2 linked regions of the Saccharomyces cerevisiae S288C genome follow. The protein of the gene in region 1 purifies or fractionates together with the protein of each later gene. This does not show direct contact. Each region holds a gene or a part of one and is shown on either strand. Other genes may lie near its edges. The genes, in order: SCL1 and RPT5.

What was found.
Region 2: the proteins of SCL1 (region 1) and RPT5 purify together in Saccharomyces cerevisiae (affinity purification with mass spectrometry; 3 studies listed by BioGRID, with this or other methods). This does not show direct contact.

The regions. Positions count from the first base shown.
Region 1 is NC_001139.9:470,419-476,939, forward strand, and holds SCL1 (proteasome core particle subunit alpha 1), read right to left. Parts: upstream 4,830-6,521; coding exon 4,071-4,829; downstream 1-4,070. Other genes in the region: drug-responsive transcription factor PDR1, read right to left, coding at 1-1,880; ERG4 (delta(24(24(1)))-sterol reductase), read left to right, coding at 2,437-3,858; 2-hydroxy-palmitic acid dioxygenase MPO1, read left to right, coding at 5,127-5,651; 3-isopropylmalate dehydratase LEU1, read right to left, coding at 5,895-6,521.
Region 2 is NC_001147.6:543,104-550,403, reverse strand, and holds RPT5 (proteasome regulatory particle base subunit RPT5), read right to left. Parts: upstream 5,376-7,300; coding exon 4,071-5,375; downstream 1-4,070. Other genes in the region: protein kinase RIO1, read left to right, coding at 158-1,612; RTC5 (Rtc5p), read right to left, coding at 1,844-3,547; DNA-directed RNA polymerase III core subunit RPO31, read left to right, coding at 6,259-7,300. UniProt on the Saccharomyces cerevisiae protein: The 26S proteasome is involved in the ATP-dependent degradation of ubiquitinated proteins. The regulatory (or ATPase) complex confers ATP dependency and substrate specificity to the 26S complex.

The sequences.
Region 1 (6,521 bases):
GATGGTTTTGATGTATTCCTAATTGACGTGAATTTTTCATTGAATAAAACAGATGATGAGAAATGGCTGACTATTTGTAAGACAGCTAATTCGCCATAGTATTTTAAGTCGGATATGCACATGTTGTCAAAAGCTTCGCTCCTGCGAACTAAGTGGACGTTCTCGATAAAATCTCTATTATCCAAGAACCCAACATCTCGAAAATTCTTAGGTAATAAACAATTGATTTTGGAGTCATCAATGTTCGAAGGATAGCCAAGTTTAGAGGCTAAAGTTTTCTCGAAATAGAAAGCTTTCCACCAGAGATTTCTTCTTCTTTCAGCAAAGTTTTCATCAAGACCCACGTAAAATTCCCACCTTGATAAACCAACTCTTGAAACAAAATGAACTGCTACGTTCAAGACTTTTTCAAAACCGTATATTTCCGATAGCCAAAATAGCAGATCCAAAAAGTATAGAAGTTGCTCTAAATGCGTTATGTCGCATGTGAAGTCCACGTAGTTGTATAATGTAGAATTATAATAGCTGTAACATAAGGCGATTAGCGCCTCTCCAGCTTGACAATAATGGATGAATTCCTGCAAGACATCAATTGACTGCGTGTTTTTAGCCACGGAGGGGTTAGATGTGATTTCCATTAGGAAGTTCTGGTAGGAATTTTTATGCATATCCAACATCTTCAATAAAATGCCAAACATGCTGATATCATTATTCATTTCGCTTAGTAGCTCAGAATTACTTATTCCGGTTATATTTCTCACAAAGGGCTGCGGTAAGTGATTTATCACTAACGCAACATGCGATTTTGTGTGTGCTGTATTCGGGCTCCCTGCAGATGATATCGAAGATGGGGTTGAAGGTAAAAGATTCATTTTCTGTAGGTAGTTTTCCAGGGGATTAGCTATGGAGACACAGCCTTGGTTGATGTGATGAAAACAAACGTCGAAAAACCTTAACATGATGTATATGGTTTCCTTGGCGGTCCTGGGAAAAATCTCGCATTTGGATTTGGATCTATAATTTTGGAAACATTTACCAATACCTTGAAGTGACAAAAATTGGAAAGGAGAGTACAAACCAAAGATTTCGTCGATCAAAGGTTGACTAGAAGTATCTTGGTCCTTCTTATTGTTTGACCAAGCGGCATATCTTGTCAAATGTACCACATCACAGTATTTGTTTTTCATCAATTGAGTTTCTATTGATTTATTAGGGTAAAATTTCGTTGTTGCTAATTCTTTGGTCCTCACTTTGGGTTCCCATCGCTTAAGCAAGTCACTTATCTGAAGTTCAATGCTCTCGATGGCTGAGGTTACATGTGTACCTAAATGAGCCATCTCCTTCAAATTTTTCAGAGTGGTTTGTAGAGATGTCAAAGTTGCCTGTGATTCGCTATCGTCTTCATAAAAACCGTTTCTATTCACATCGTCGTCATTCTTCCCATCACTTCCGCTATTATCACCACTACTACGACCACCTAGCTTGAAATTCTCAAAAAATTTCGTTGGTTGTTCCACTGCGCATGGCCCGTCTGTACATCGCTGAGGATTAGAAAAAGAAGTCGAACTGGAATCTGTTTCCTCTTTGACTTGTACGGTTGTACCTTCCAAACTCGTCTTGTGAAGGTTTTTTATTCGAGCGCCACCTTGTCTAGTGCTGAACGTGCACTCACATGAATATATCTCACAGCTTGCGCAGGGAAACTTCCCATTACATTTTATCTTTCTTTTTCTACAGTTATCGCACGCTTTACTTACTTTCGACCTTGGCTTACGAATCTTGCCGCTGAAACCTGTAGAAAAGTTGCTGGAGTCCGCGGACGATTCTGTATCCGGACCCGTCTCAATATGTACACCGTTCTTAGGTGTCAAGCCTCGCATCTTCCAGTTTCTTGGATTCTTTTCTGTATATTCTTGGCTGAGATGAATAGTTAGCAAGTGATGTGCAAATTGTCTTTTTTTAGCCAAAACTCACTCCTGGTAATGTCTATATGGCCGCTATGGTCCTGCTATCATGCTATTGTTGACAATGAAAGAGTGGCTGATCATGTGTAATAGGCGAATAAGGTTGTTTTGAAGAGCTTTAATTAGCGCCTCTTATTGCCACTCATTAGGTCTTGAACAAGAAAAGAAACTCCATTTAGGGTATGCGTCTGTTTCCAACAAAGCCCTATTGGACCCTGAGAATGTAAATCAGGGCTCGTTTCTTCTCGTTTAATAACTAAACGAGACTCATTTCTTTTTCGTTCCTTGGCGCTATTTTCGTGCATCCCGTAATTGCCGGTATTACGCGATCGTTTGGCGTTACTATGGAAAAGCAGAATTATATATCCTCGAGGAAAAATTACCAAACAGTGGTAATAACGTAGGAATGTAGTTCAGTTATGTAGATAGGCAGATACGGATATTTACGTAGTGTACATAGATTAGCATCGCTATGGCAAAGGATAATAGTGAGAAGCTGCAGGTGCAGGGAGAGGAGAAAAAGTCCAAGCAACCGGTTAATTTCCTGCCTCAGGGTAAATGGCTGAAGCCAAATGAAATCGAATATGAGTTTGGTGGGACTACTGGTGTTATTGGTATGCTGATCGGGTTTCCACTGCTAATGTACTATATGTGGATTTGTGCGGAATTTTATCACGGTAAGGTTGCCCTACCCAAGGCTGGTGAATCGTGGATGCACTTTATCAAGCACCTATACCAGTTAGTCTTGGAGAACGGTATCCCAGAAAAGTATGACTGGACTATTTTCTTAACATTTTGGGTGTTTCAGATCATTTTCTACTATACGTTGCCCGGGATTTGGACAAAAGGTCAACCATTGTCTCATTTGAAGGGAAAACAATTGCCTTACTTTTGTAATGCCATGTGGACCTTGTATGTAACTACCACTTTGGTCTTGGTTTTGCACTTTACCAATCTTTTTAGATTGTATGTCATTATTGACCGTTTTGGGAGGATCATGACATGTGCCATTATTTCAGGGTTTGCCTTCTCCATCATATTGTACTTATGGACTTTATTTATCTCACATGACTATCATAGAATGACAGGAAACCATCTATATGATTTCTTCATGGGAGCTCCACTAAACCCTAGGTGGGGGATTTTGGACTTGAAGATGTTTTTCGAGGTTAGATTACCTTGGTTCACCCTTTACTTTATCACTTTGGGTGCCTGTTTGAAGCAGTGGGAGACTTACGGCTATGTGACACCACAATTGGGGGTTGTCATGTTAGCTCATTGGTTGTACGCGAACGCATGTGCTAAAGGTGAAGAATTGATTGTTCCAACCTGGGACATGGCTTACGAAAAGTTTGGATTTATGCTGATCTTCTGGAATATTGCCGGTGTCCCATACACTTACTGTCATTGTACGTTGTATTTGTACTACCATGACCCATCTGAATATCACTGGTCTACACTGTACAATGTTTCGCTGTACGTTGTTCTATTATGCGCCTACTACTTCTTTGACACGGCAAATGCTCAGAAAAATGCCTTCAGAAAGCAAATGTCTGGTGACAAGACAGGTAGGAAGACTTTCCCATTTTTGCCATACCAAATTTTGAAGAATCCAAAGTATATGGTTACCTCCAATGGATCGTACCTATTGATTGATGGTTGGTACACTTTGGCTAGAAAAATTCACTACACTGCCGATTGGACTCAATCTCTCGTTTGGGCCTTGTCTTGCGGGTTCAACTCGGTGTTCCCATGGTTTTTCCCAGTATTCTTCCTTGTTGTCCTGATTCACAGAGCCTTCAGAGACCAAGCAAAATGTAAGAGAAAGTACGGAAAAGATTGGGATGAGTATTGTAAACATTGCCCTTACGTCTTTATTCCTTATGTTTTCTAGTTATTTTCTTTTTCTATCCACTTCATTAACTTATTTTACAGTTTGTATATAAAAGTATTGATGTATTTACGCGACAAAAGGGCTTGAAAAGATTCGATTTTCTATTACTTGATCTACTTTTTCCTATAAAATAAATCCTAAATGAAACGTGTCCATACATATATTGAGTGTTGACGCGTGTGATTTCACATTATGTTGTGGCAGGAAGTATGTTAATCTTGTTCAGCAATTGCTACTAGCCTTTCTTCGATGTTCTCAGCACTCAAGGTAAAGAATTTGTCCTTTGTAGCGACACCGACTTCCAAGTCATTCTTTGAAAATTCGGTACCCAGTGCGTCAATCATATGAGTAATAGCAAATTCTACCACCTTCTCCCATGATTCTTCATTAATATGGTCGATTTTACTCTTTTTGAAATGGTTTTCTAAGTTTGTTGTGATCTCCTGTTGTTTTGGTCCTGTCGCAGTAGCTTTGTAGCCAACGTAATAACCTGCAGGGTCAGTTTTGTAAATGGAGGGACCCAATTCTTCATCTACCGAAACAAATGTGAGTATAACACCTAATGGTCTCATATATGCTCTTTGAGTATAGATTTGGGAAAGGTTAGCCATTCTCTTAGCCAATACATCGCATGGCATATCATAACCATATTTATAACGGAATTCTGCAGCCTCAGCCTTGGCTCTTAGGGCCGCATTTCTTGCATCCGGTATTGGTCCGTTCACTACCATACCAATTGTTCTTGAAATACAAAAAATATACGAAACAGTAGTTGGATCCAACAGTTTATCAGGGACCTTTTTCTGACTTATCACCACTGTACAATCTTTACCTCTGACCGCTAGTGAGTTTATGTTAGTTTGATTAGTCGCTTTAAAGGCATATTCTACTTGATATAAACGACCCTCGGGGGAAAAGATAGTGATGTGCCTGTCATAACCAGCAGCAGATGCAGCAGCAGCACCCGACATGATTGTAATATGTTTTTTTCGCTTTGCTTCGTCTCTGCCCTTATATGATTTAGCATGAAGATTATAATGAGTTAGCCATTTAACTTACTCTATCCTTACGGTGGCAAATTGGTGTGTGCCCTTCGTCTATTGTGATATCATAATTAAGGATCGCGATTACCATTATAAGAGGATGGGGAAAAGGAATGCCAAGGTAAATCCAGGAAAGTGAAACTTGGGAGTTTGTTTGGAGGATATGTATATAAATATACGAGGTTTTGAGAATATAGTCTCTTCTTCTGTTATAAAAGAATAAATATGGGCGAAGGTTTGCTGGATTTAAGATCTCAGCTTGGATTTTACAAGTTTTACCACCACAATCCTAAGAACGTTTTGATCCATTCCATATTTGTCCCCACAATCCTATTTAGTGGTAGCTGTATGCTCCACAGAGTCAAAATATATCAGAGTATTTCATTGACTGCTGTGCTAAGCGTTTTATTTTCCATATTTTATTGTCTTCTGTATTTACCCACAGGGCTATTAGCAGGAGTTCTCTTGCTTTTGTTAAATCTTGCACTCATCGATCACAGGGTTGATTTAACATTTAAGCAGGAACTGGGTTTGTTTACTATTGGTTGGATTTTCCAATTTGTTGGCCATGGTGTCTTTGAGAAAAGGAGGCCAGCGTTAATTGACAATCTAGTTCAGAGCTTGGTGCTGGCACCATATTTTATAATGTTCGAGTTCCTTTTCAAATTGGGTTTCATGCCTAGATTAAAGGCAACTCTCGAACATGATCTTGAAATTAAGCAAAGAAATTTGCGGATGCAAAGACAATAAAGAGGGATAATGTTGCATTTAAAGTACATGTTCCTCTGTAGCATTCACAAAACCTGCATGCATTAACAAGGGCTAGCATTATAAACTTCATCAATGATGTTATAGTCAAATAAATAAATAATTAGTGAGTACGTTAGATTACGTATTAATAATAAATAAGTAGTTTGGTTTTAGAAAAGGATGGTGTGCTTGTCGCTGAGACACATGTTATTGACGCCAGGTTTGGACGTTGTTTTTCACTGTCTACCAATCCTGGTGGACTTTATCGAAAGTAGTTGTAACAGCTTTTCTTTTTGGAACGTTGTCAAATTTTAATAATTTTGATCCACCTTCCAAGAATGAGTATTTCTCTCTTCTCAAAGCTTCGTATCTGGAAATGTATTCTTCCTTTTGCAATGTAATACCAATATCATCAAGACCGTTAACTAGGCAGTGCTTTCTGAAAGGTTCTATTTCAAAATGATCAACGAGCACATTGCCATCGGAATCCAAAATTTTTTGATTTGGTAAATCGACGCAGAGCTTACCACCCTTATTAGCAATAGGGATCAATTTGTCAATGATTATTTGTTGATCCAATCTAATAGGTAATAAGCCGTTCTTGAAAGAGTTGTTGTAGAAAATATCACCGTAAGAAGGTGCAATGATGGATTTTATACCAAAGTCTTTTAGAGCCCATGGTGCGTGTTCTCTGGAAGAACCACATCCGAAATTGTCACCAGTAACAACCAATATTTCAGCTTCCCTCCAAGGTTCAACATTTAATACAAAATCGGTTTCTTGATCCTTACCTTGATCGTCTTTACGGAAACGCCATTCATAAAACAACCCTTTTTTCAAACCCGTTCTCTTAATTGTCTTTAAAAATTG
Region 2 (7,300 bases), on another chromosome or scaffold:
TGAGTAGTTGCGGGGACATTGGCGCGCGCAGAAAGAGTGAAAAATTTTATAGTGGAATATAGAAATTGAGATGAGATGAGATACTAAGACTAAAAATAATAGTAAAAAGAAGTTAAAACAGATTTAGAGATTCAAACTCCGTTATTTTTAGAAGGTCATGTCCTTGGAAGATAAATTTGATTCATTGTCTGTGTCGCAAGGTGCCTCGGACCATATTAATAATCAGCTCTTAGAGAAGTATAGTCACAAAATAAAAACTGATGAATTATCATTCAGCAGAGCGAAAACATCAAAGGATAAAGCAAATAGGGCGACTGTGGAAAATGTCTTAGATCCGAGAACTATGAGATTTTTGAAGTCTATGGTCACCAGAGGTGTGATTGCAGATTTGAACGGTTGCTTAAGTACTGGGAAAGAAGCTAATGTTTACCACGCTTTTGCAGGTACCGGTAAGGCACCCGTAATAGATGAGGAAACAGGCCAGTATGAAGTTTTAGAGACAGACGGATCCCGTGCAGAATATGCCATTAAGATTTATAAGACCTCTATCCTAGTCTTCAAAGATCGTGAAAGATATGTTGATGGTGAATTTAGATTTAGAAATTCCAGATCTCAACATAATCCAAGGAAAATGATTAAAATTTGGGCTGAAAAGGAATTTAGGAACCTGAAAAGAATTTATCAAAGTGGCGTCATTCCAGCTCCTAAGCCAATAGAAGTTAAGAACAACGTCTTAGTTATGGAATTTTTAAGCCGAGGTAATGGATTTGCCTCACCTAAATTAAAAGATTATCCGTACAAGAATCGTGATGAAATTTTCCATTATTATCACACAATGGTGGCATATATGAGATTGCTGTACCAAGTTTGTCGCCTGGTTCATGCCGATTTGTCAGAGTATAACACCATAGTTCATGATGATAAACTATATATGATCGATGTTTCCCAAAGTGTGGAACCTGAACATCCAATGAGTTTAGATTTTTTAAGGATGGATATCAAAAACGTTAACCTTTATTTCGAGAAGATGGGTATAAGTATTTTCCCTGAAAGGGTTATTTTTCAATTTGTCATATCAGAAACTTTGGAGAAATTTAAAGGTGATTATAACAATATTAGCGCCTTGGTTGCATACATTGCTAGTAATCTACCAATAAAATCTACAGAACAAGATGAGGCAGAAGATGAAATATTCAGATCGCTGCATTTAGTTAGATCATTGGGTGGATTAGAGGAAAGAGATTTTGATAGGTATACTGATGGTAAGTTTGACTTACTGAAAAGCTTGATTGCCCATGATAATGAACGCAATTTTGCTGCTTCTGAGCAATTTGAATTTGATAACGCTGACCACGAATGTAGTTCTGGCACAGAGGAATTCTCAGATGATGAAGAAGACGGCTCAAGCGGATCTGAAGAAGATGACGAGGAGGAGGGCGAGTACTATGACGATGATGAACCAAAAGTTTTAAAGGGGAAGAAACATGAGGACAAGGATTTAAAAAAATTGCGCAAGCAGGAAGCTAAAGATGCAAAAAGAGAAAAAAGGAAAACAAAAGTCAAGAAGCACATCAAGAAAAAATTGGTGAAAAAAACGAAATCAAAGAAATAATGCGGCCCTGTGAAAATACATTTGGGAATCGTTGTTTGGAGTCGAAGAACAGAAAGTAGGTCAGCAATTTAACGAAGAAAGTTCAAGACTAAAAGTGTAATATCAGTATCAAAAGTTTGGTACTTTTCATACAAGTGCAATAAATATTAAAATAAACAATAGCCTTATTTAGTGGTCTTGATTTTTAGTGAAATCAATCCCAATAACTAAAAACAGCAAAAAAGGCAGGCATCACATTGAACCGCCACCTTGATGTTGGCCAACTAAACCTGCCATTTCCAGTAAGGCACGGTCTTCTCCCAAGCTTCTCAGGTTAATTTGCTGTCTTCTTTTAGATTCTGCTTCTTCCCATTCCAACTGTTTGATTTGCTCTTCTAGTTCTTTCTCACCACCACAGCCCCATACCTCAACATCTTGAATCAAAAAATGCAATTCATAAGGGGAATTTTCCTCCTTTCTTTCCATCGACAATAAACCAGGGTCTAATGAACCTCCGTAACCAGTATTTCTAAACACAGCAAATTCTAATGTGCTGTCAAAAGTAAGCGACACGTTCCCTGGTATGTATCTCTTGGATGCTGGTTTTATTAATGGTTGTTTATCCCCGATTCCAATTCCGCCACCAATTGTATTGAAATAGATCGTGCCTTTTTGGTTGACTTTATAAATATCCTGCCTGGGTGATATTTCTATTATTCTCGTATTCAGATCGCCAAAATAATCTTTATTTGTTACTTTCCACGGATCGTCTATGTACACAGCGAAAGTAGTTTTCCTTTTATTCAAATGCGATGCATCCATCATTTGATCTGACTCTTTCAATTTAGGAAATTCTTCAAGAAAATGGCGGTATCTTGGATTCTTCTCAGCTGCGTATTCTTCAGAATTTGTTATCCTCATTCCGCTAACAACTAAAATCGAAGGCGCCATCCATTTGAACACCTTTGCTTGCAAAGACCTCATTGAGAAGCCACTTTTCCTGCCGATGTATAAACTTTGTAGCTTATGAATAAATAATTCCTTTGGTAGTCCCGTCGATAACTGTGCCAACAGTGCTGGAGTCATAACTTTAGAATCCTGAATAGACGATAAGTTTGTGTCATGATCAACTAAATCGTGCTGCAAATAAAAAAAATGCTCCATTAAATTCTCTAATGGTTTTAATAGATTGGGCATTACAGTTCTTATTGCAGTTGAAAATTGTTGAAACGTTATGGAATGTGATTCTATATCGCCCACCACGTCTGGATTCATAGTTCTAAGGAGATTGAGTGCTGAGACTTTGAAATTGCCCCATTGATCATGAGTCTCTGTATTATCCAATTTAGAATTGGTGGTTGGACAATCAACTGTTAAAATTAAAAGCCAAGTTAAAAACTGAAGCATAAAATCAGCAGGAATGCACAGCATTTCTGTATCAACATCATCAAACCCAGTTATTATTTGTTTTATAGTCAACTCCTTGTTTCCGTCGTTTTCACTTTCTTCGGAGAGTTCTTCTTTGTCAGTTTTCTGAAGTGATAAAGAGATAAACAGCAGTTTTAGTTGATCATAGGACTTGGTTTTCAAGAATTTGGCACATCGTGCCCTGTTTAACAACAAAATGCATTTTAATAACCCATATCCCGTAATTGGTTCGTAAGATGATTTCATTAATGGGAAGTTGCTCAAAACCCTCAACATGTTAGTCACTATCCCAACAATCATGGCATGATTCTGCGGAAAATAAAGTGAGTTGCATAAAGCTTTGTGAGAAATTGGAGTGTTTAGATCTTCAATTTGCAAATTTCCCTTAAAACTGACTAATTCTGGAATAGTGACCTGTTGCTGTGCTTTGTTATTGAAATATGCCAAAATATCTTTGCTATTTGTGAATTTTTTTGAGTGGGAAGAACCCTCTTCGTTACTGGAACTGATTGAAGAAGACTGTCCCATAATACTACAACAAATATTACCTGGTCCGGTTGCTTTAGTAGTACTCCTTCAGTCTGCAAGCCTGTTTAAATTTAATGCTTTGGTAAGATTAATCAATCGTTATATGAAAAGTAGAATGGTGCCGATATCTTACTTCTACCTGTTTTACTCCCTTTCTGCAGCCTATTAATATGTCACTAAATCATCTACAGATGTGTGCTGTATATGGAGCTCTGCAAGTTAAATACTCAAAGCACCCGTAGCCGTCGATGCGTCTTGTTCTCCTACGCTTTTCTCTTTCCTTCAATGCATCCTTGAAAATTGCGAAAGTGCCAACGAAAAAGAAAAATACAGTAAAAAAAAAAGTCAAACGCCAATGAATATATACCTGTTGCTACGCTTTCGGTTTCATCAAATAATAAGTAGTATACAATTAGCCATATACAGTATCAATAATAAGGAAGTTACGCGACTTTAAATAAAAGGATTGTTCTAATATGTAGATATGTGAATGGCGGCTTGATAAATCAAAATATTATTATTTTTATGCATAAAAGGATACCGATTTCGATTTTCTTGCTTGAACTTCACTTATACCCTCAACGAAATCTTCGTGTTTAACGGAAGATTGCCCATTCCTTAAGGCAATCATACCTGCCTCCACAGTTACCGCCTTTAACTGGGCACCATTAAACTCATCAGTAGACCTGGCAAGTTCTTGCCAGTTAATATCATCATCAGTGGTCATTTTTCTTGAATGAATTTGTAAAATTTGAGCTCTCGAGTCTTCGGATGGGAGTGGGAATTCAATTTTTCTATCCAATCTTCCTGATCTTAACAAAGCAGGATCTAAAACATCAACTCTATTGGTAGCCGCCAAGACTTTGACACGATCATCGGAGCTAAAGCCATCCAATTGATTCAATAATTCCAGCATGGTTCTTTGCACTTCCCTATCACCGGATTTTTCAGAATCAAATCTCTTAGTACCAATGGCATCCAATTCGTCAATGAAAATAATAGTTGGTGCCTTTTCCTTGGCCAGTGCAAAAGCATCGCGGACTAGTTTAGCACCTTCACCGATATACATTTGTACCAATTGAGGTGCTGCCAGCTTCAAAAAAGTAGCATTCGTCTGAGCCGCGCAAGCACGAGCTAATAAAGTTTTACCTGTACCCGGAGGCCCGTACATTAGGGCACCCTTGGGCGCTCTAATTCCCATATCTTTGAATTTATCTGCACGTTTCATAGGTAACACAATGGCCTCCACCAGCTCTTCAATCTGTTTATCCAACCCACCCACGTCCGAGTAAGTTTCTGTGGGTTTTTCATCTACCTCCATAGCTTTTACACGAGAATCAAATTCAGAGGGTAAAGTATCCAAAATCAAATACGAGTCTTTATTCACACCTACCAGGTCATTTGGCTTAAGTTTATCAGGATCTACTAAACCGACCATGGGCAAGAAAACAGTCTGTCTAGAAGAAGTCTTGACTACAGCAGCTTTGCCAACAGCGGTGTTATCTAAGTTGACATTACCACCTTGTGTAGTAGATTCACTATTTTCTTTGTCTTCAATCTCATTCATATCCATGACCTCGACAACGTTAGCCACAAGGTACGGTAACTGTCTATTATTCTTGATTTTTTCCTTATTGTCCTTAATCTTCTCGAGCATAACGTTGTTTTCATGGGACAGTCTTTGCAATTCAGATCTAAAAATACGAATTTCATTGTCCAAGAGCTTGGCTCTTGTTTGAAGCTCCTGCGTCGAAAGATTCAAAATCTCTTGATCTAATTCATCGTCTCCTGGTAAAGTTTGAGCATCCAATTCTTCCAAGGTGGCCATCTTAAACTAAAATCAAAACTTTCCAATTTGTTCTCACCTCTATAATGCACAAATAAGTCACTCGTATAAACGTTTTAGACAAACTCCTGATGTGCCCTTTTTACCCAAGAGTTCATTAATGGGGTCCTTTTCAGTAAAATATACATTAATTCATTTTTGCCACCACATATTGGCCGGGTAACTACATGATTAAACCATTGCTAATAAAAGGAATTCGCCAAGGCTGCCGACCAACAACCATTACTGACGTTATTTTTTTACGAACATACTCACTAGGTAAACCAGGTATATATATTAAACATAGTATAAAGTATCAGCCACTAATTGCACTCGTCTCTTTTGGGCTTTCGTCTTTTTTAAATTTTTTTTTCTCTATTACAGTAACTAATCGCAAACAAATCAGGCATCTGTGTATATTCGTTGGAATCTCAATGCCAACGGCATCACATTGCAGAAAGTAGAAGCTGCAAAATACATACTACTGATATATAGCATGCTTATTATCATCACTATATACGTGAATATCGTGTTTCACGAAATTTGCCATTTTTTTTGCAAAATTATTGCACAGGCTCTTCTGGCAGAACTCATCACCAGATCAAATAACAGAAGAGGTTAAACTTGCCCTTTTACTATAGCTTACCTTACTATTCTTTGCATATATTAATCGTACAATATCGTTGATTTGGGGAAGATTGCTTAGTTTGTTGTGGCTAGAGTTTTTGTTGATTGCAGACAGTATACTAGATCATTTTTTTCTTTTCCATCTGCACTAAATTTTTAAACTCATCACTGGTTGGTTACATAGTTGTTCCTTTATTGTGTTCAATACTATCTGCTTTCTCCAAAACTGTAAGCGAGTCCCGCAATTTCGAAGAATTCGATGAAGGAAGTCGTTGTAAGTGAAACCCCGAAAAGGATTAAAGGGCTGGAATTTAGCGCTTTAAGCGCTGCCGATATTGTCGCCCAGTCTGAAGTGGAAGTGTCTACAAGAGATCTCTTCGATTTAGAAAAAGATCGTGCTCCTAAGGCGAACGGTGCTTTAGACCCCAAGATGGGTGTCTCTTCCTCCAGTCTTGAATGTGCAACCTGTCACGGCAACTTGGCATCGTGTCATGGCCATTTTGGTCACTTAAAATTAGCTTTGCCTGTTTTCCACATTGGGTACTTCAAAGCCACCATTCAAATACTGCAAGGTATCTGTAAAAACTGTTCTGCCATATTGTTATCAGAAACAGATAAAAGACAATTTTTGCATGAACTTCGTCGTCCAGGCGTAGATAATTTAAGACGTATGGGTATATTGAAGAAGATTTTGGACCAATGTAAAAAGCAAAGAAGGTGTCTGCATTGTGGTGCTCTTAATGGTGTCGTGAAAAAAGCCGCTGCTGGTGCTGGTTCAGCCGCGTTGAAGATTATCCATGATACATTTCGTTGGGTAGGTAAAAAGTCCGCTCCTGAAAAGGATATTTGGGTGGGAGAATGGAAGGAAGTTCTTGCTCATAATCCAGAACTAGAGCGTTATGTGAAACGTTGTATGGATGATTTAAATCCACTGAAAACTTTAAATCTTTTCAAGCAAATTAAGTCTGCAGATTGTGAGCTGCTTGGTATAGATGCAACAGTTCCCTCTGGTAGACCAGAGACTTACATATGGAGATATTTACCCGCACCTCCGGTTTGTATAAGGCCTTCCGTTATGATGCAAGACTCTCCAGCATCTAACGAAGATGACTTGACAGTAAAGCTTACGGAAATAGTTTGGACTTCGTCTTTAATCAAAGCCGGTCTTGACAAGGGTATTTCCATTAACAATATGATGGAACATTGGGATTACTTACAACTGACTGTTGCAATGTACATCAACTCAGACTCAGTCAATCCTGCGATGCTACCAGGTTCATCCAATGGCGGCGGAAAAGTGA